Schizosaccharomyces pombe: one gene and its partners. Changing the gene in region 2 together with the main gene of any one other region gives a genetic interaction. Each region holds a gene or a part of one and is shown on either strand. Other genes may lie near its edges. The genes, in order: mrf1, opa3, ppk31 and dri1.

Region 1 (4,298 bases), on a different chromosome or scaffold from region 2:
ATTCCATCGTTCCTTCTTCTGCTTTTGAGCTTATTCGTTCAATTTACATGAATCATAGTAATGATACGCCGTACAGGTTGAGACTTTTACAAAATCTTTTATCCCAACTTCGACGTGTTAATCTTGCTACTTTGAGTGCCATCATTACTCATCTAAATCGCTTGATTACGCTTACTCCAAATAAAGAAACTTTTACTATAAATTTAGCTAACTCCTTATCTTTATGCATTTCCCGTCCAGCAACATGGAATTTGGGTATTCAACATGATAAGCACCCAACGAAGTTCATGGAGGATCTTTTAACTTACGGACCAAGTATTTTTGAAGAACTCAGAAAATTGAATTCATCCAAACGTGTTTCTGACCGTGTATTATATCAATCTTCTGCTACTCCTCGGAGTACAGATGTATCACCAACTAGACCAGACTCCATTTCTTCTGTCCGATCTCATACTGCTGTCGAATCTCCAAGATCTTCGTTTGAGGAGCTGCAACCTTCAGAAATTCCCGCTGAATCTGAATTTACTCTTGAAAATGTGCCCACCTCATTGATCAGATCGTCGTATGCCTTGAATACTAGAAAGACAAGACGTAATTTCAGCCATTCTTCTGCTTCCAATGAAAGTGCCGCAATCTTTATTGATCAGGATGCAAAGATAGTGAACGAAGCAGTCGCCTCAAGAGATTCCAGTTTAAGTGGTAGTTAAAAATATGTTATTATGAGTTAACCTATGATCTTTTTTAAAGATCAGTTATGGATATCTTATTTGCATGACATGTTGCACATTCTTTTCTCATTATTCATTGCATATACCTAATAAACATTTTTCTCTATAGAAGTTTGACCACCATATATTATTGTACCTTCCTATTTTACTAGACTAAATTAGCATTCCTATACTATTTCAGAGTGTAATAGCAACTGTTCACGATTCCATATTCTTATTTTTTCCAAAAACTCGTCAAATTTTTCTTCACCTTGCATAAATGTTGATAAATCGTGCATGCTTAAACCTATCCGATGATCAGTTACTCGATTTTGGTTGAAGTTATAAGTTCGTAGCTTTTCCGAACGATCTGAAGACGTTACTTGATTTTTACGTTTCAGTCTTTCAGCCTCATTTTCTTTTGCGGCATTTAAGGCAGCCAATCTTGAATTCAGTACAAGAAATGCCTTTTCTTTGTTTTGATGCTGAGAACGAGAATCTTGCATGCTAACAGTGATACCAGTGGGTATGTGTGTTAAACGTACGGCGGATTCTGTTCTATTAACGTGTTGTCCACCGGCTCCACGAGATCTCATTACTTCGATTTTAACTTCAGATGAATCGTAAAGAGAAGAGGATTCATCATTTGACACCTGAGGTAAAACGATTACTGATGCAGTACTCGTATGAACTCTTCCTTTAGTTTCGGTAGCAGGAGTCCTCTGAACCCTATGAACACCTCCTTCCAACATAAGATGACCATAAGCTCCCTCACCTTCAATAGAGAAGATGGCCTCCGTTATCGCTTCAAGTCCTTGGACTGCACTTTTTGATATAAATTTGCAATTCCATCCTTTAAAATTTGCATACTGAAAATACATTTCCACTAGTTCATTTGCAAATATTGCGGCCTCTGTTCCTCCTACACCAGGACGAATTTCGATTAATGCAGGAAGAGCATATGAATCAGCTTGTGGAAGTAATGTGTTTTCAAGATCTTCTATGCTTTTTGGTATTTTATTACTTATTTCGTTTATTTCAGTCACTGCCATCATTTTAACCTCTGCATCTGACTCTTGGGCCTCCATTTGTTTCAAATCGCTTATTTGCTAAATTGTTAGAATTTTTTTAAATCAAGGTTTTCAAAAACTAGTTATTTAAGTATTTCAACATGCTCATCAAATAGCTTTACTTAGATAAACAGTAAATGCCTGGCAAAAGTCTTAAGTTATAGACCCATTAGCAAAAAAAAACCATTGTAAATCGATTACTATAAATAGGAAGAGTAATAAAAAAAAGGAAAGCTTTTGACTACAAGTTTGAGACAAATTCGTCTTATATCATACCTCAGACAAACTTTTAAATTTCGAATATGCATTATGAACGCGTCGAAGCCTAGCGATTCGCTTTGCTAAATCTGTATCGTTTGTCATTGCCGATTGATCCTAAAAGATATAAGTTAGATCATTTATATCAGATTTTAATTTTTCATGAGTAAAGCTTAATGTCCGGTATGCTTGTATTACCATTATTATTGTATCTCGAACAGTAGCAGGCTGATTTCACACTTTGTTTGCCGACACTTACTTTATTATTTACTTGATGGAATTGAAGATACTCTGAAGAAAGCGATCGGGCTTTTTCAATAAGTACTCTTGAAACGTTATGCTCAGAGTATCCTTTTTTGCAAGCAATGCTACGAATTTGATATTCAATTCCATGTCTAAAGTACCATAAAACTTTTTTAGTTAGAAGCATCACCTTGTATTTTGAGTTTCTTTTATTTCTGCATACTCAAAGAATTAGCAGTAAAACTAATTAGTGTTAACCTGTTAAAACCGCCTTTCTGACCTTGGTGTGCTTCTTCGATAAGTACTTTTATGATATTTAAGGAGGTCCTTGCAAATTCTGTCGGATATGCATTATAATCCGACAGTGCACAGCAAAGTAAAATTTTGTGTACGCATTCTTAACTCGTAAATTTTTTTTACGAATCTATACACCTAGAAAGAGTTTGCTATTATTTTATGAGTAGAGTCGCCACGAATACAGTTATAATTAATTTGGCTAGCAATAACTATGCTGCATAGTATAATAATCAGGGAATTGAGGAACGTAGGCACATTGTTTATAATAGCATAATACGCAAATATCTAAGTCTCATGTAGGGCATTTGTGTAGCTTTTTGCTGTATTAACGACTTTGAAAGTGGAAACGTAAATCAATATAGTGGTATTTAACATAGTGCAATAATAATTTAGTGAGGAATAGCTGACAACTAGTAGAGATATGTATTGTTAATTTTGATAAGCTAATGTAAGTTGAGCTGAACAAACTCTTGCTCGACGATTACAATAAAAGGGAGACGAACTCTTCAAGAAAAAATAATTTGGTTGTAGGAAGCATCGATATCCATTGGACAAATACCATTAAACTACACAATAGCGATGTAAATAAACATTTGTATTGTTCATAAAGTTTCCTTATTTATGCTAGCGCAGTTAAACGAAACTTTAACCAAGCTTTCATGATGGTGTATTATTCATTTTGAAATGCGCAGCTAAGCTTTACCAAACCACTTAAACTGTTTTTGGGATTTGTTCAATAAAGCCCTCTTGGCTTTTACTCATTTATAAAGCATTGGCTTTTCTCCATAGGGACTTGGATTTCCCTGAGTCTCAAAAAAACTTTAGCCAATTGCTAATTTAATAACAAAATGACAATTCATCAAGGTGGAAATTCAGTGATTGATAATGTACCTTATTCGTTAAACACAAATGTAAATGATAGCATCTACTCTGAAAAGGGGACAGGACGGAAAGATGCAGAAGATCACACACCATCCAAAATTACAGATCTTGAAAAAAACGTCGACCATTCTATTCCATCGTTTCCTGAGAATGATCCAAAAAACTACTCTGAATTTGTTAATTTAAATCCTCCAAAACGGCCCGATTTGGAACACACCCGGGGGTCTTCTTGGCATACAGCCTCTGAAAACGTTAACGATCTTGCTGCGAATGATAGTACAAGAGTGCAAACTCCAGAATTTATCACACAGACAATGGAGGATGAGAACGTTGAAGTTCCTCCTTTAGAGAGAGACGAACGTGATGCAGCTGCTGCCCATACAAGTAAGGCAAACCGTAATTCTGCCAGACAAATGTGGGCACAATTAATGGCTTCTGTTCGCAAATTTAAAAGGGAAGATGAAAAGCCTATATTAAAGGAGAACTTGCCTGCTATTAATCTTTTCGAAGCAGGCATACCTGCATCTTTACCTATAGCCAAGCATTTTATTCGAGATAAATCTGGGCAGCCGGTATTGCCTATTATTACCGACCTAATAAAGGTCTCAGTGCTTGATGTGGAGCCTAAACATAATCGCATACACAGTACTTTCACAATTCAAGTTGAATATGGTACTGGGCCACATGCTATCCGTTGGTTGATTTACAGACAGTTGCGCGATTTCATAAATCTTCATTCACACTTTCTTTTTTTTGAATTTCAACATCGATTTTCCGGAAGACGCATGAAATTGCCTAAATTTCCAAAAGAAGTGCTCCCTTACTTGGTGAAACTCCGGGG
Region 2 (4,243 bases):
CGGAATGATTACCGTAGTATTCATCAAGAGTTTCTGTAACAGAATTAAGAAGAAAATTAAAAAACTCGTGAGCATCTTGCTGCTGAGTACTGCGAAAAGCTTCATTGTCTCTACGTAGAACTTGGATAAAACGCTCGGGAGAACAAATACCATAACGACAATCACAGCAACTTACGGAGCAATAAAGATCCTTTAAACAAGTATATATGTTTTCTTTCATTCCATAAGCAGAACAATTGCTTTCGCCTACAACGATTTGATGCTTCGTCCCGGATTCAGAGCCGACGTTACTAATATCGACACAGCCGCAAGAATTTATACCATTGGACCCGTATAAAGAGGACTTCCTATTCTCCATGCTCTTTTTCTTACTGTGTCGTGAGGAAGATGATTCAGGATGGTTGGTTTTTGTACAAACGCTTTTAAAATTTGGAGGAGCACTCGGAAGAGGATACGAATTTAAAGAATCACGAAAGGGCTTTAAATGGTATAAAGATACTAAGACAGAACTCACGTAACTATTTCGTTAGAAATTTACAATCATAAAAGCAACGCTACAAGTATGATCGCCATACCATGTATTTCCATACTAAAAATATGTTAGAGCAGAAGAAATTATAACTAATAAAAATGCTTACATTTGTTAAACCATAGAATCGATCTGTTAGGGTTTCAGGGCGAATTGATGGCTTCGGCAACTCTGCTTCCCAAGTGCTTTTACGCCGGTCAGTGGAGCCTGGGGAATTCTATAGTTTGTCAGTCTTCAATTCATAACTAACAATTGAATTACCATTCCCATCCAACGAAGCAGCGACATGCTGAGTTGAACTAAAGGATGCTAAGTTTACAAACCAAGCACAGCGGGGAAGTGAACGCAAAGGGAAGCTTTCACGCGCTCAGAAAGGGGCGTACGTTGGTGATCATAATCTTAGGCTATTATTATATTAACAGCCAACTATCTAAAATAACGAAGTGCAATGTATTGTAAAATGAGCGATAAAACTCAGTAGATATTAAGTCAAAAAAGCTATAAATAAACCGTAACTAATTTTGGAAATGTGATCTGGTTAAACGAAGTATCAAATGTACAATAAATTAAAAGAAAGTAAACATCAGTTTGGTGAAATGGGAACAGATGAATTTCTGCAATGTATCAAAATTTACTCATTAATGCAAGTTATGTGTAATCGTAGTATTCACCATCCACTAACCTGTAGAAACCGATTTGGTGTTAGAAGATGGAGGATGATCTGCCTTTTCTGAGACTGTTTCACGTGGGATTTCCTTTGAAGGAGTGGCTTCTGCTTGCTCGTTCTGACTTGGCGTGTTTTGACGAAGAGTATGGAGCTCACGTTCAACTTTAAGAATGACTTTGTGGAGTTCGTCAAAATCCTTTTCGGTACTATCAATTTCCTCAGTCGAAGATTGGAGTTCATTCTTTTTCTTCTGTAAAACAAACTGCTTTTCCATGATTTCGTTAATACGAACGATTTCATGTTGTAAACCAAGAATCGCTTCAGCAACTTCATCTCGTCTATTCTTTTCCTTTCTACGAGCCCTCCATGTTTCAAATAAAATGGCTCCTCCAGCAACAGTACTGTAAATTGTTAGCAAGAGAAGAACATTGTGACAAGTTGGATTTCGTAGCTCCTTCACAATGTGCCGTATTAAGCATTGTGGAGAGGAAGTACGTCAAATCGTATTAATTTTCATACAATATAAAAGTTTCTGATAAAAATGTTGCACCAGCATCGACTGCTTTGGCATCGTTTAAAGGTCGTAATCGTACATTAGCTCCTCCACTTTTAGCTCTGTTAATTCCTGTTATTCTAAATTCCGCGCGATGCATCCATTGAGCAAATTCAATACATGCCTATATAGAAATTTCGTTAGTAATGCTATAAGATTCTCTTTATCATCTATTTTACTGATTTATACCTTTCGGAAAGCCTTGTGCTCTTTAGCTTGGGCTTTGATTGTATTGGCAATCGGTTTGGATAATGTTCTTACTAACAAGCTTCCGATTTTTAAGGCTAGAGAAGACATTGGATTGTAGAGAAATGTTAATGGATACCAGAACTTCAAAAATATTCGAGGGGGAATAAACCCGCAAAGGATTTCAAATTACCGACTAAAAGTACTACCACCTCAATTAAATAGAGGTATAAAAGAAAGAAATCTCCGATAAAATTAGAATGCAGATATAAGCGTGTAACAATAGCTAGGATATTTATGCAAGGTCGAAGATATACTCTTCCGTTAATCAATAGCAATATTTAAAACCGCAACACCAAGTGCGTGCTTTATTTTTTTAATCTATTAATTAGAAAAGTTATTGGAAGAGGAAAGTAAATTTGATGTTGCTGAACTTGATATGCATATTCTGTCGGTTTCTCTGATTGGTTTACTAATCCTTCTTACACCGATCCCTGTGTGTGCTTAATATTTTGCTTGTATTAGAAACTTTAGTGTCGCAGTTATCAATACTTGTCCTTAGTAGTACAGTTGTATTTTCATTTCTTAATGTAACGTACATACCATTCAACCTTTGACTTACTATTATATATTTGATTTTTAGTTAATGACTTTTGTTAGCGAACCGTATGTTATGCAAATAGTTCCAAGCAACTATAGTTTTAGGGAATACTGTAAAGTGCTAGTTAATGAGCAATACGCGTATTATACAACGTTTACAACAGTTTATCATATCACGCTACAAAATAAAGTACATAAGACTAGCAGTTTTCTACATAGCTTTGCTTAAGATTTTAAACTACCGTTGATAAAAGGGAAACGTAGCATGCATCCAAACCTACAAATAACTTTCTATAAGTATCGTAAAAACTCAGAAAGTAGATACCTAATATTAGCAGTTCACCGTCAGCGAATGAAACTCACAAAAGGAATGACAGCGAAGTACGTAAAACGTATGTATATAAAAATATATTAAAAGCGCATTCAGAGGTATAACCAACAAACATGTAGTTTAGCAGCAGTTGCTGGAACTTTGGGAAACGTTAGTGCCCTGACCAACCTTGACACTAGATTTGGCATTGGAAGAGGCAAATGTATTATTTCCCATACGTTCCTTAATTTGACGGGACATAGTTAAGAAAGCTTGCTCAACATTTGTAGAATCTTTAGCAGACGTTTCGAGGAAAGGAATATTCAAACTGTCAGCAAACTCCTTAGCAACAGAATATTCAACAACCTTCTTATCAACCATATCTGACTTGTTTCCTACAAGAAGACGATTGACTCCTTCAACGGCATATCTATCTATTTCCTGAAGCCATTGCTTAACATTGTTGAAAGAATCTAAGAAGCAAGCATTAGCCTCGGAACCGCGTCGGAAACAATGTGAAGACTAGAAAACGCCATAAAAATATCCCCCAAACGCCTTATAACGCATATACGCGCATATACAGAAAACGGAAGACAATCAAATTGGTTTTCCATACTTCACACATTACATACCTTGATCGGTAACATCGTATACGATGATAATTCCATGAGCTCCACGATAGTATGAGCTAGTAATTGTACGGAAACGTTCTTGACCAGCGGTATCCCACTATGATAAATCGTTAATAAAAAAATATCCCGGAACGCCAACGAGAAGTAAACTATCACTTACGATTTGAAGTTTAACAGTCTTTCCCTCTAATTCAAAAGTTCTGATTTTCTAAAAAAAGTTAGCAATAAATATGGTTAAGCTGCTTGAAAACGGACGTACAAAATCAACTCCGATAGTAGAGATATAGGATTCAGTATAAGTGTCATCGGCAAAACGTAGAAGAAGGCAACTCTTACCGACACCAGAGTCGCCAATAAGTAAAAGCTTAAAGAGATAGTCGTATCTATTAATATTAGCATTCATCTTCTTACGGTAAAAAAACTCATTACCTATTGATTAGCAATTATATCGCCCAATTTACAAGAATTCTTTAATTTTGGAAAGAAAATACTCTATAAATTGTTAATTTCTAGCTCCTGATGTATTGAATAGTATGCTAAATCCTTACTACTCTGGATTCATCGTATATGCACAGTAATGGCGGACGTTCTGTTGCTCGCTTCAGTCTACGCATATACCAACGCAGCGGAGTGGGGGACCCTACAGCCCAAAGAATGCTCACGGGCAAATCTTTTACTATCATGCTGCTAATTATATTAAGTATCGTTATTTCGTTTAGCGTATCTTAACTTTCCGTAGTATTTCATATGTTTTCAAAACAAATAT
Region 3 (5,941 bases), 1.7 Mb from region 2:
ATTCAGGCATACTGTTGACAAATTGCTTCCCAGTTACAGGATCAAAAAAGTTGTTACTAACGATTCCATGGCTCTCGGGATATAAACCGGTAACAATAGTATAGTGATTAGGGAAAGTTATACTAGGAAAAGAAGGAATCAAAAAGGGAACATGGACATTACGTTCAGCCAGGCTCAGAAGATTAGGTGTGAACCCACGATATAAGTAATCAGCACGGAATCCATCCAAGGAGATTACGATGACAGTGGACTGAAAAACATTGGTCCCATTGTTGAAGGAACCTCCAACGATAGGAAAAATAATTGCTTTGAAGCAAAATAATTTCACAATTGCCAATATCAGAATTCCTAAAATGCAAATAGCGGCAATTGCTAGTCCCGATCGTTTTGCCCATTGATTCAAATAAGCCTTTCGATCATTTTTCAAAGGCAAATACTCGTTGGACCCAATATTAGCCCAACTAAACATTTCGGCGAATGTTCAAAATCAATGATATAAAGGAGTATTGTTAGGTATATCATATAATCTGTCAAATAATACTTACTTGAATAACGATGCGAAAAATATTGTTAAAATCATTTAACGCTTTCAAAGATATGCGGTAAACACTTTGTTCTAACTTACTTCAATTCGTAAACTATTCAGTCCTCTTAAATGTTCTGTCGTATAGGAAATGTCATCCTTTGAAACGTTTAGTGAAATGAGATAGCTTTTTTTCATATATGAAATTCAACTATTAATAATATTTGGATTCAAGGAGGAAACATCAACTTATGTTAGAAGCATTATTTGGCTAAAGCCTCAGAATAAAAGATTTTGTAGAACAAGTTTATTTGTCTTTTTACTGTTTCTGTATGGAAATATTAATTAACCATTTTTCAACTTATCATGATTCGTTCTGGATAGCGAACATGTTATGTCTATGGTTTTACATGATGTTAAAATAAATGGTAGCGATACTTTTTGTTAGGTCGTTTCTGAATTCGAAATTTCTCTTTATTTCTTTGTTGATTTTTGGGGAAATCGACCTCATCATACATTCGCAAAAGCGTGGCTTTGTTGTTGTAATTAAGGGCCTTTAAGTCTATTCCCTTAAACGCTTTGGTTATTAGTGAAAAAAGATCTTTTCGTTTTTGGTCTGTTAAATTTGTGGTCTCCTCCTCGGACGCAGAGAAAGCAGCTGAGTTTGAGGTTTCAGTACCACTGTCAGCTGGTGTTGCTTTTGGAGGAGGATGAAAAGCAAAAATACCATTTAGAATTAAAGTTGCTGACGTCTGACAATTATTTTTATTAATATTATCCGAACCGCTTATGTTTTTTTCAAAGTACGTCAAATCTTCAACATTTTCTGTTTGTGGAACGAACGGACCTGGCCCACTATTTAAATTATCCCATTTAATGGTTCGAAAAAAAGGATGTTTTTTGATTTCCTGGTATCCATTGCTACCCAGCCGTTTGTTACAGTCTGGATCCATGAGTTTGGTGATTAAGTCTACCGCCTCCTTTGAGCAGCTTTCTTTCACTCTTTTAGTCCAACCAATATCATTTCTCTCTATGCGAGCCCATATTGCTTTTACAGTATTTGCTTCAAATGGTCGCGTGCCAGTCAACATTTCGAATATCACACAACCCATCGCCCATATATCGCCCATCTGAGTATCAACGCCCATTAAAATTTCTGGAGCCATATAATTTGGCGTCCCTGAAATATCTTTTTTGATGAATGTCCGGTTTTCCTTTTTCTCTAACTGATTCATTAACATGTGTATTGCTGTTTCATCCATGTTATTGATATCAAAGTCAAGTAAATGCTGGACCGAGTCATTGGCATAATCACTATTTTGCTGTGGACTCTCCGCTTTCTCAAGCTCATCAATATTCCCGCGGTAATTTCGAACATATCTTACAAATTCGAATTTTTTAGGTTGAAGCTGCTCATACAAATTTCCATGTTTCTGTTCAAATGACATCCTCTTAGTAAGCTTATAAACCTCTTTTTTTTCCTCTACGTTTTCACTCAGTCCGAAGTCTGTAAGCCGAATATGTCCTGTTTCGTCAACCAACATGTTGGCAGGCTTTATGTCGTGATGGATGATTCCATCCTGATGCAAAAGCTCGATAGCATTTAGTAATTCAGCTGCGTACTGGCAAACCCATTGCTCTGGTAACGGTCCTAATTTTTGAATAAGTGTTTCACAATCTCCTCCATTAAAATAATCCATTACAAGGCATAGGTAGTCCCCAGAATCAAATGCATAATATAATTTCACTGTGTTTGGTCCATATCTTTGGATATGCATGTTACGCTTTTCAAGCAATAGTCCTTTTATTTTTTTTAAGCTATCAAGACTGGATTTTGGAATCATTTTAAGAGCAAAATACTTTCCTGAAGATCTTTTTTTAGCAAGATAAACCCTACCGTATGCCCCTCTGTTTATTTCTTTTAAAAGTATGAACTCGTCTAATGAGTGAGGAGTATTATCCCCAAATCTCCTATCATTATGGCTTGGGAACTGCATACTTTCGGTAAGAAAATGAACGATCGAGGCATAGAATTTGTTAACAAATTTCTGCCGATTTTTTAGAGGTCTCACATCCAGATCTTCAATTGATCCCTTTACCGCTTTAAAATAATCTATCCTTGTTGTTTTAAAGGTTTTAGACACAATTAAGTCTTTTTCTGTTAAGCGTTCTCCAATCTCAAAGTATTTTTTATGTCTTTTTATGGTAGATATACGTTCTGTTCGTTTCTGGATGTCATCGTAAATTGAATTATTATTTTCAACGTTCCCAAGGGCTAACAGCCTGTTGAAAAACACTGGTCTCTGTTCGGAAAGGTATTGGTTTACGCAAATTAGATTGGACAATTGAGCATTTCCAAAGTACAGACTTCCTTCGATGTTTTCCATCTCAATTGATAGCATATTCAAGGAGTACGTTTGAAGAAAATTTTTAACTTCATTAAACGTTGCTTGATACATTAAAATGTGATTACAGAGTTTTATTTTAGACGATAAATTTTTCAAAAGAAGTGAATGAACATCGTAAAAATAATCCTGGATCTTTGAGGGAACAAGAAAATCATACTCCCAATTCACCAATGATTTTTCATAAATCTCTCGCTTCATGTCTTTCGCGGCAGAATTTGAAATTGTCAAAAACGTTCGATGTTCTAAATAAGCAAAATTTTTAATGGATTTGTCCAGTTCCTTAACCAAAAAGTTCAGAGAGCTTCTCCATGATCGAATGCGAAACCTCTGTTTTCTGTTTTTCTTCCCGTTGAATACTGTTATGACCGGCAAGGAAAGAAAGGTTTCTTCAACCATATGATTACTACCCGTAGGGAGTTTGTTAACTATGTCTTCTATTTCCAGCTTCTTACAATTTATCAATTGTTGTACGGCGAAAACGCGGCGTACGAGATCATTCCAAACAAGGCAAAAATCGCTATGTACCTCAAAGTACCACTCTGGTAAATTATCTTCACACAACGAACATAATTTTCCTGAAGGAGGAGGAACGTGTATATAATTGTATTTGATTATTCCGAGCAAATGATCATGAAGAATGAAGGCACCAATCCCTAACGTGTTAAACAGGATGAAATCCATTTCGTTGATCACGGACCGTTGTGGATATAAATATTTTCCTGCCCACAAAACCCTTGTATCTTTACCATACAATGAGTCTACTAGAATGCCTCGAAAAAGCATTCTAATATACGTCTTTCCCTCAAATGGAGCTTTGGCTTGTTGAATATAATAATTAGGACTGCGTATTGGATTACATCTGAGAAAAGCAAAGACATGTGCAACTGATATGCTTTTTCTGAAAAGATTATCGGTTGCTTTCTTCATTAAGTGTTCATCATCGCTTTGAAGATACTCATAGAAACTACATTGAAATAAATCTCCTTCGTAGCCGATTAATTCAAAAAATGCAGGATTGGCATATTCCACTATTCCATTTTTTGACATTTCAATTTTCAGCAGAACTTCGTGGGAAAGTATCCTCTTCAATTGCTCTGGATTAGTCATTGTTTATCATAATTGAACACTTTAAGCTTCTTGGTATAAAAGAAATTGTATTCAAAGTTGTGTAAAATCAATGCAAATGGTTCTTACGCGATAGTTTTTCGGCAAAGACTTTTAATAGTTTGTAAGACTCGTATAATTTAAATACCTTTTTTTACTTATGAAGCGGAATTGTTGTTGTATACAATGTTTTCGTTATTATAACATCATCAATTTATTACTTGGCTTTATTAAATTCGCCAACTAATATGCTAATTCATAATGAGATCACAATTTGAACGAGCGATTTTTAGCACTTTAATTAGCGACAGGTTCTTTAACAAATATTTGTCGGATGTGAACTGTAGGTGGCATCAATTGGTATTAAGCAGAAAACAACCAAAACCATTGTTACAGCGAATATTGACTAGCGAAAATTAATTAGTTTTTTAATACATTTTATTGTGAGCGACAGAAGTATTTGGTGATTTAATTCATTTGGCGTTGTAATTTAGACAACAGGTGAATAAATAGATGTAGAGTTAATACTTCAATCCAACCCTTGGTTTAACTTTCTAATCACACTAATTTGAAAAGAACTTAGAAATAATATGGATTTTTTTCTCTGTATCATAAAGCTATGGTTTTAACATATGCAGCATGGTTTACAAAAGTATAATAAAATGTTGAAATCTAAATTCCTTAGTGGCAATAGATTAGTCTGAAAAAATAAAGAGAAAGTCTTTATTATAAATTGATATGGGTTAATGTGGTGTATTACAGAAGCGATTAATCTAACGTGCTACGCTCAGCATCTACATGAACTGAGCGCACTCATCTAAATATTTTTGTAATTGGTAATAAGCAGCAATACATGCCTGAGTTTATACGCAAGTTTTGTAACAATCATTGGTGCGATCAATTTTTGTTTTTTGGTTAGTTGCATCGTTACTTCTTCCGCTTTTTTGTTTTCATATTTTTGGTTTTTAAAACACATCGCAAATTCAATCAAGTTGCGAAATTTTTCATTCTTTGATATTAATTTTCTTACAACCTACTTAAAAAACTATTTCCTTTTGGTCGAGAGCCTTTATATTGGCTATAGTCTACTTTCTTCAAAAATGTCTGTTGAAGCAGGATGTTCAACGCTATCTAATCCTCTTAAGAAATTGACTTCCACAGCTGTTGTCAATAATTCAACACCTTCAGCTCAATATCGAAAACATTTAACCAAGTCTCAAAGTCGTACTTACGCTCCTTTGCAAACGCTGTCTGAGGATCAATTCACATCTTTCAAAAATCTCCAAGGAAACAATAGTCCTTTAGGTAATGTAGTTAAGAACCCAGTTAGCTTAAAAACTGGAAATCATACCGGCACAACTACTCGTGGAGGCTCGAAAGAAAATTGGGTACATTCTTTTTCTTCTCTTCAGCAGCAGAATAGTAAGTCGGCTTGGACATCAGAATTCTCTGAAGTATTTCTCAATTCATCTGAAAACGACCGTTTTCGAAACTTAAACCAACCTTTAAAACAATCTTTTTTTGGTTCCGCTGGACTAAATTTATCTTCAAATACTGAAATACCCTTACAAAGTTCTTTAGCTATTGACGAAACTGAGTTGGCTAAGAAATTTGAGGAAGCTTCTCAAATCTCCAATAAATTAGAGAAGGAAAAGGATGCTACTGGAAGTAAATCAATTGAGGAGCTATGGGAAGAGCATCAAAAGCAATTGAAAAACGCCGGGCTAGAGCCCGCAAGTTTAGAGGAATACCAGAAACAATGGGAAGATTTTTTAAAGTCAAACAATATTTCTGACGATCCTTACACTTCGTCTGTGAATAGCTTTGCTAATGATAATTTAGCTCATAATAAAAACATAGATCCTCAAATTTTCCAGCATAGCGATACTGATAACGTTGTTGAAAA
Region 4 (4,931 bases), on a different chromosome or scaffold from region 2:
CTTTCCAACTCATCAACTGCATCCTTCAATCCCTGAGCATCGAATGATCTAACCAACATAGTTTTTTCAAGACATGGAAGAGGGAGTGCAGCCGGATTGAAAGTACCTAAAGTATCAATCCACATAATTCTATCAAACCTAGAGTAATAACTTTTTAGAATCCAGTAAAGCATCAAGTTTGCAGAATTTCCACTAAATTGAGTAACCTGATTCATAATGTCAGAAAATATATAAGCTGCTTTAAGAATTTGCTTGGTATGCTTTAAACTTTCGATAGAATTGTTTTTTCCAACGATATTGATGATCAATGAAATTGATTTTTGCAATCATCCCCTGGTTATGCTAATGGCATTCTAAAAGAGATAAACACCCAAATGCGTTGAAGGAAAAGATACGTACAATCGTCAAAAATTTCCGGAATGTTCAACAAGTATTTAACTAATCATGAGTGTGTGTTGAATCTTATCTCATGTTTTTTGTTGAACTATCTACATGGATTATATTTAATTAGGGTATGGATTAAAGAAGCAGAAAGGTCGTCAACATTCGAGTACAGTATATAGCCACACTGGTGTGGATTTGTATATATTGAGAATAACCCTTTAAGAATAAAAAGAAAAAATAGAAAAGCATCAACTAACTGTTTTTAAATGCTACATATGCGAATTTAATTCTCTCTAATAATGCCATGTATTACAAGTAACCTCATGTATCGATTGATTTAATCATTATCGTTACAAAATTTTTATAAATTATATAATAAAAAAAAGGAATATTAACAATACATTATTTACCGAAGAACCCTATAAATTTGAACAGCACTGACAACTGTAAGAGGTAAACAACCATTTTTTCAAACGTTCAATGAGTGTGACACTCCAAAACAAATGAATCCCCAAATCCCAAATATGGGAGAGCTCTATACGATTGACTGCTGTTTTTTCCCCGAAAATTTCTTCAAGGTCAAAAATTAAATAGCACTAAATAGAAGAAAAAAACCCACCAAAGAAAATTATGAACTAATTTTGACCACACCTGTAATTCAATGTTTATGCAAAACCTTCATAAGAAAACCCAATACAACTTTTAAATTTTTGTTCCAATAGAGTTGCTTTTCAAAATGCTGCCTTTAAATAATAACAATTGTTTCATCAAATTTGCTCCTTCAAGACATAAGTGATTATTTTTATCGCACTAATCACTTGCATTTTTAGCTATAGTGTTTACCAAATATCCTTTGTACTACGGGACCTATCCATTAAATATAATTGTCCAACTTTACACGTAAGCATTGAAATCCGAAGGCAAGGATGCAGGAATCTGCATATTAGAGTAATGCGGAGCATTGCAACGGAGACAATTACTGCGGCGACGAAAATTAGTAAATCCACACTCACATAACCAATCGCCTTGATCAGTAGTAACGGAAGGACGTGATACTTCTTTAAAGCGTCCATGATCATCGAACCTAGATACATTACCACCATTTTGTCCCCCAAAATTTTGACCATGATTAGCCGTTACTGAATTTATAGAAAGTTGTGAGTAAGGATACACCGAATGATTAGGAGGACTTGTACTCATAACAGGGGGGATGTGAGAATATGAATTATGACTATACGAACCATTCACCGGCCCAGATGCATGATCTGCTACGACTGCAGCTGTAGCACGGCTAGCCCCACAGCGTAAGCAGCAAACATTTTTTGCGAAATTGTGATATCCACAACCCTCAGAGCCACATTTCCAATCACCAGCACGAAAAGGGACATTACCACCGAATGAGCGTGAAGAATGATGATGATTTACAGCATTATTGCCATTCTGATGCTGAAGATCACTTTGCATGGTATTTTCGTTAGAATGATGGACAGATCCACCATAGTTGGCAATAAAGTGAGAGGAGCCGTTGCCGTATGAATTTCCATAAGGGAAATCAGGTGAAAAAGTATTGCTACCAGTAGCAGCTGAAACATGAGTAGGACCAGGAAATGAGCATCGGAAACAAGACGTTCGACGTTGAAAATTGCTGAAACCGCACATTGGGCAATTCCAATCCCCAGGGCGTGGGCGATTCTTACTAGAAGGAAAAGGAATTAGAATGTCTGAAGCTTTATCTAAAACCTTTGTACTACTGGGAATAATTTCCAGCATCCGATCTCCTAAGCAATATCCATTAAAGGCAAGAGCATCGGCAGCATCTTCATGACTAGCAAATAGCACAAAACCTGTACCCGTAGATTTGTAAGGTTCGGGAGTCTTTAAAGTCCATAAAGCTACGGGATGAACCCCATGATTAGTAAACCAACTTTCCAACTCGAGCTGTGTTACATCGTTGGTCAAACCTGCAACGTGTACAATTTTTGACCGTTCTGCATAAAAGCTTCGTGCGTCTGCTTGACAGTTAATGGGTTGTGTAAGCACCGAAGGAAGAGAATGACCTCGAGAATCTTTCTCTGCTTTACGAAGCAATAAGGTGGTAGCATTTGCAAGGCGCCAGCATTGAGTAAGACCTTTGGTTATGTAAGGAGCATCTGAAGGTGATAATTCAATTGCTTTTGACTCTGTAATAGGTGGTAAAGAGTCGACATCTAATTTACCAAAAATATGAGAAAGCGTTATTGTGTATGGTGGTACTGCACCCATGCGAATCTGCCACTTGGCGTATTCGCTTGATAAATCAAACAAGCGAGGATGGCGCATGTAGGAAGGTAGCGTAATTCCCTGATCCCGTGCTTCTTTTGGCAATAATACACGAAGCTCTCTTCCATTCATAACAACAAATGTAAAAGGTTTTCCTTGGAAGTTTAATCGTTCTTGGATTGAATTATCCAATGTGAAGATAGCTTCAGTTAAGGAACTAGCAGAACCACAAATTCCATGACGAGAACTATCTTCACGAATACTACACGATTCACAGTGTTGTTTTTCCAAAGTTTTTCCATCTAATATAACCCAGCATATTTCATGAATTTCACATGGCGCCCGGCCAATGCTAATGCCGTGATCGTCAAGATTTGTTTCAAAGTGCAAAACAACCAAGTCGCCTACCGATTCTGGCAGAGGCATTGTTGGACTTGGTAGCTTTGACATGATATTGCAAAGCTACAAACCCGTTGGTGTTTTTCTTTGTCACTCACAAGTACAGTCACAAAAGTAACAAATCTAGATTTAGAATCCACCTAAGCGGAATTATTCAAAGGAGAAAAATCTTTTATGAACAATAATATGTACAACTGATGTTACTGTCGAATCGTGTATTGTTGTGGGATTCTTTTGCATGCAAAGCAGAAAATTTAGCAATACTTTCGAAACACAATGAAAATGAAAATTTTACGATAAATTATTATACCATAATTTAGCGCATCAAGCATTTGGTATTCTTATGTCAGCAATACTACACTACGTTGAGTATCACTATATGTCACATGTTCTAATTATATATCGTACCATGTATAATACGATATGGAGATTGATCTTAATGATAATCTATTAAGATCAATATTATCTGAATACTATAAATAGAGCTACTGCTGAACCTCGTTCCTCAGTTCAGTTATGAGCTATATTAGTGATAGTTAACATTATAACCCAGTTAATACAATACCTATACTCAGTTGCTACTTATACAACCTGTGTATTGTAATATAATAGATCACAAGGAAAACTCACCGCAGTTCTACGTATCCTTAAATCAGATACCAAACTGCGTAGCTTACATCTTATGAACAATACCGGGGTTTTTTGTAACCACGTAAACAATCAAAGAACTGTTGTTTATTTTGACAATTGTATCAGGAAGTCAAGGGAAAAGTTATACTGAAAAGCCATCCATTGAAAAGTATTTGTACATCTTGCTACATAAAAAAGCTGATAGTAATTTACTTACACAACTGATAATTTACTAAATTACCGTCATTTCAATTAGAGTTGGTGTAATGTAGCAAAACATAAATTTATCAGCAATAACTCTACAATCGATAAAATGCGACCAAGTTATAGCTTAAAATTGATACAACGAATTTTATACGGACAAATAAAGGGTTAAAATTTACGTTAAGGATTTATTAAATGCCTTCCGTACAACCTAAATGAAGACTAAGAGTAATATAACGCAACGTTAATCAGCTTAGCGATTCTAAATGTGCTCTTTATTATTTGATGTGAACTGCAATAGTAAAAATCTTTGTCACCGTTAGCCTAATCGTAGATTGTATTAATCAAAGTAGCACAAAGCAAATTTTTCAAAACCTTTGAAAAATATTCAAATTCAGCTTTGTGTAGAATACACACTAGACTACAACGATGGCAGGAATAGAATCAAAGCAAAGAAGAGCTCAGAAAAAGGCAGCTAAAGCTGCTATGAAGGAAAAGAAAAACAAGGAAAGCAATGAATCTTCTACTTCTGTTGAGGCATTAAATGAGAAAGAAATGATCAATACCATTAAATCTCCTATTATTGAAACAGCTGATACAGCTGATCAAGAGAACGAATCTGAGGGATCAGATGAAGTTGAACTTTCTGATCTTGAAGGAATTGAGTTGGAAGAAGACGCTGATTTGATTAGAAAAAGAAAATTAGCTATAAATAACACTGTTGCACTAGAGAACATCTATGAACGAATTAAATATCCTGATGATATTTCGTTTGTTGAAAACCAAGCTGTTACTACTAAGGAGCCTATAATAATTGAAAATGTTGAGGATGATCTTGCCCGTGAACTGGCCTTTTATAAACAAGGTGTGAGCTCTGTAAAGGCGGCTTTTGCCAAACTTCGTGAGGCGAATGTTCTAATTTCCCGACCTCATGACTATTTTGCGGAAATGTTAAAGTCCGATGACCACATGGAGAAAGTGCGTCAAGAGTTGATTAAAGAAGCAACCGCTAAAAAACTATCCCAGCAAGCTAAGAAACAACGAGAACTCAAGAA

What was found.
Region 1: mutations in opa3 (region 2) and mrf1 together harm fitness less than expected from each alone (positive genetic interaction), as found in Schizosaccharomyces pombe (one large-scale study listed by BioGRID).
Region 3: mutations in opa3 (region 2) and ppk31 together harm fitness less than expected from each alone (positive genetic interaction), as found in Schizosaccharomyces pombe (one large-scale study listed by BioGRID).
Region 4: mutations in opa3 (region 2) and dri1 together harm fitness less than expected from each alone (positive genetic interaction), as found in Schizosaccharomyces pombe (one large-scale study listed by BioGRID).

Annotation. Positions count from the first base shown.
Region 1 is NC_003424.3:568,403-572,700, reverse strand, and holds mrf1 (peptide chain release factor), read right to left. Parts: upstream 2,534-4,298; 5' UTR 2,466-2,533; coding exon 2,295-2,465; exon of another isoform or gene 2,153-2,294; coding exon 2,054-2,152; exon of another isoform or gene 1,968-2,053; intron 1,949-1,967; exon of another isoform or gene 1,817-1,948; coding exon 896-1,816; 3' UTR 825-895; downstream 1-824. Other genes in the region: putatiRho-type GTPase-activating protein Rga8, read left to right, coding at 1-707; phospholipase D Pld1, read left to right, coding at 3,424-4,298.
Region 2 is NC_003423.3:2,932,785-2,937,027, reverse strand, and holds opa3 (mitochondrial outer membrane lipid metabolism regulator Opa3), read right to left. Parts: upstream 2,338-4,243; 5' UTR 2,047-2,337; coding exon 1,939-2,046; exon of another isoform or gene 1,874-1,938; coding exon 1,716-1,873; exon of another isoform or gene 1,598-1,715; coding exon 1,207-1,597; 3' UTR 906-1,206; downstream 1-905. Other genes in the region: ubiquitin hydrolase Ubp9, read right to left, coding at 1-518, 576-589, 639-746, 791-817; GTPase Ypt1, read right to left, coding at 2,987-3,318, 3,478-3,574, 3,638-3,685, 3,737-3,860, 4,029-4,039.
Region 3 is NC_003423.3:1,211,884-1,217,824, forward strand, and holds ppk31 (serine/threonine protein kinase Ppk31), read right to left. Parts: upstream 4,039-5,941; coding exon 940-4,038; 3' UTR 807-939; downstream 1-806. Other genes in the region: npp1 (nucleotide pyrophosphatase), read right to left, coding at 1-469; peroxisomal targeting signal receptor Pex5, read left to right, coding at 5,136-5,941. UniProt on the Schizosaccharomyces pombe protein: Has a role in meiosis.
Region 4 is NC_003424.3:2,008,627-2,013,557, forward strand, and holds dri1 (RNA-binding protein involved in heterochromatin assembly Dri1), read right to left. Parts: upstream 3,080-4,931; 5' UTR 3,070-3,079; coding exon 1,279-3,069; 3' UTR 719-1,278; downstream 1-718. Other genes in the region: rdl1 (RAD51D-like protein 1), read right to left, coding at 1-215; rRNA processing protein Ebp2, read left to right, coding at 4,306-4,931. UniProt on the Schizosaccharomyces pombe protein: Mediates heterochromatin assembly by promoting RNAi-mediated heterochromatin silencing and histone deacetylation. Binds pericetromeric transcripts and recruits the RNA-induced transcriptional silencing (RITS) complex to heterochromatin.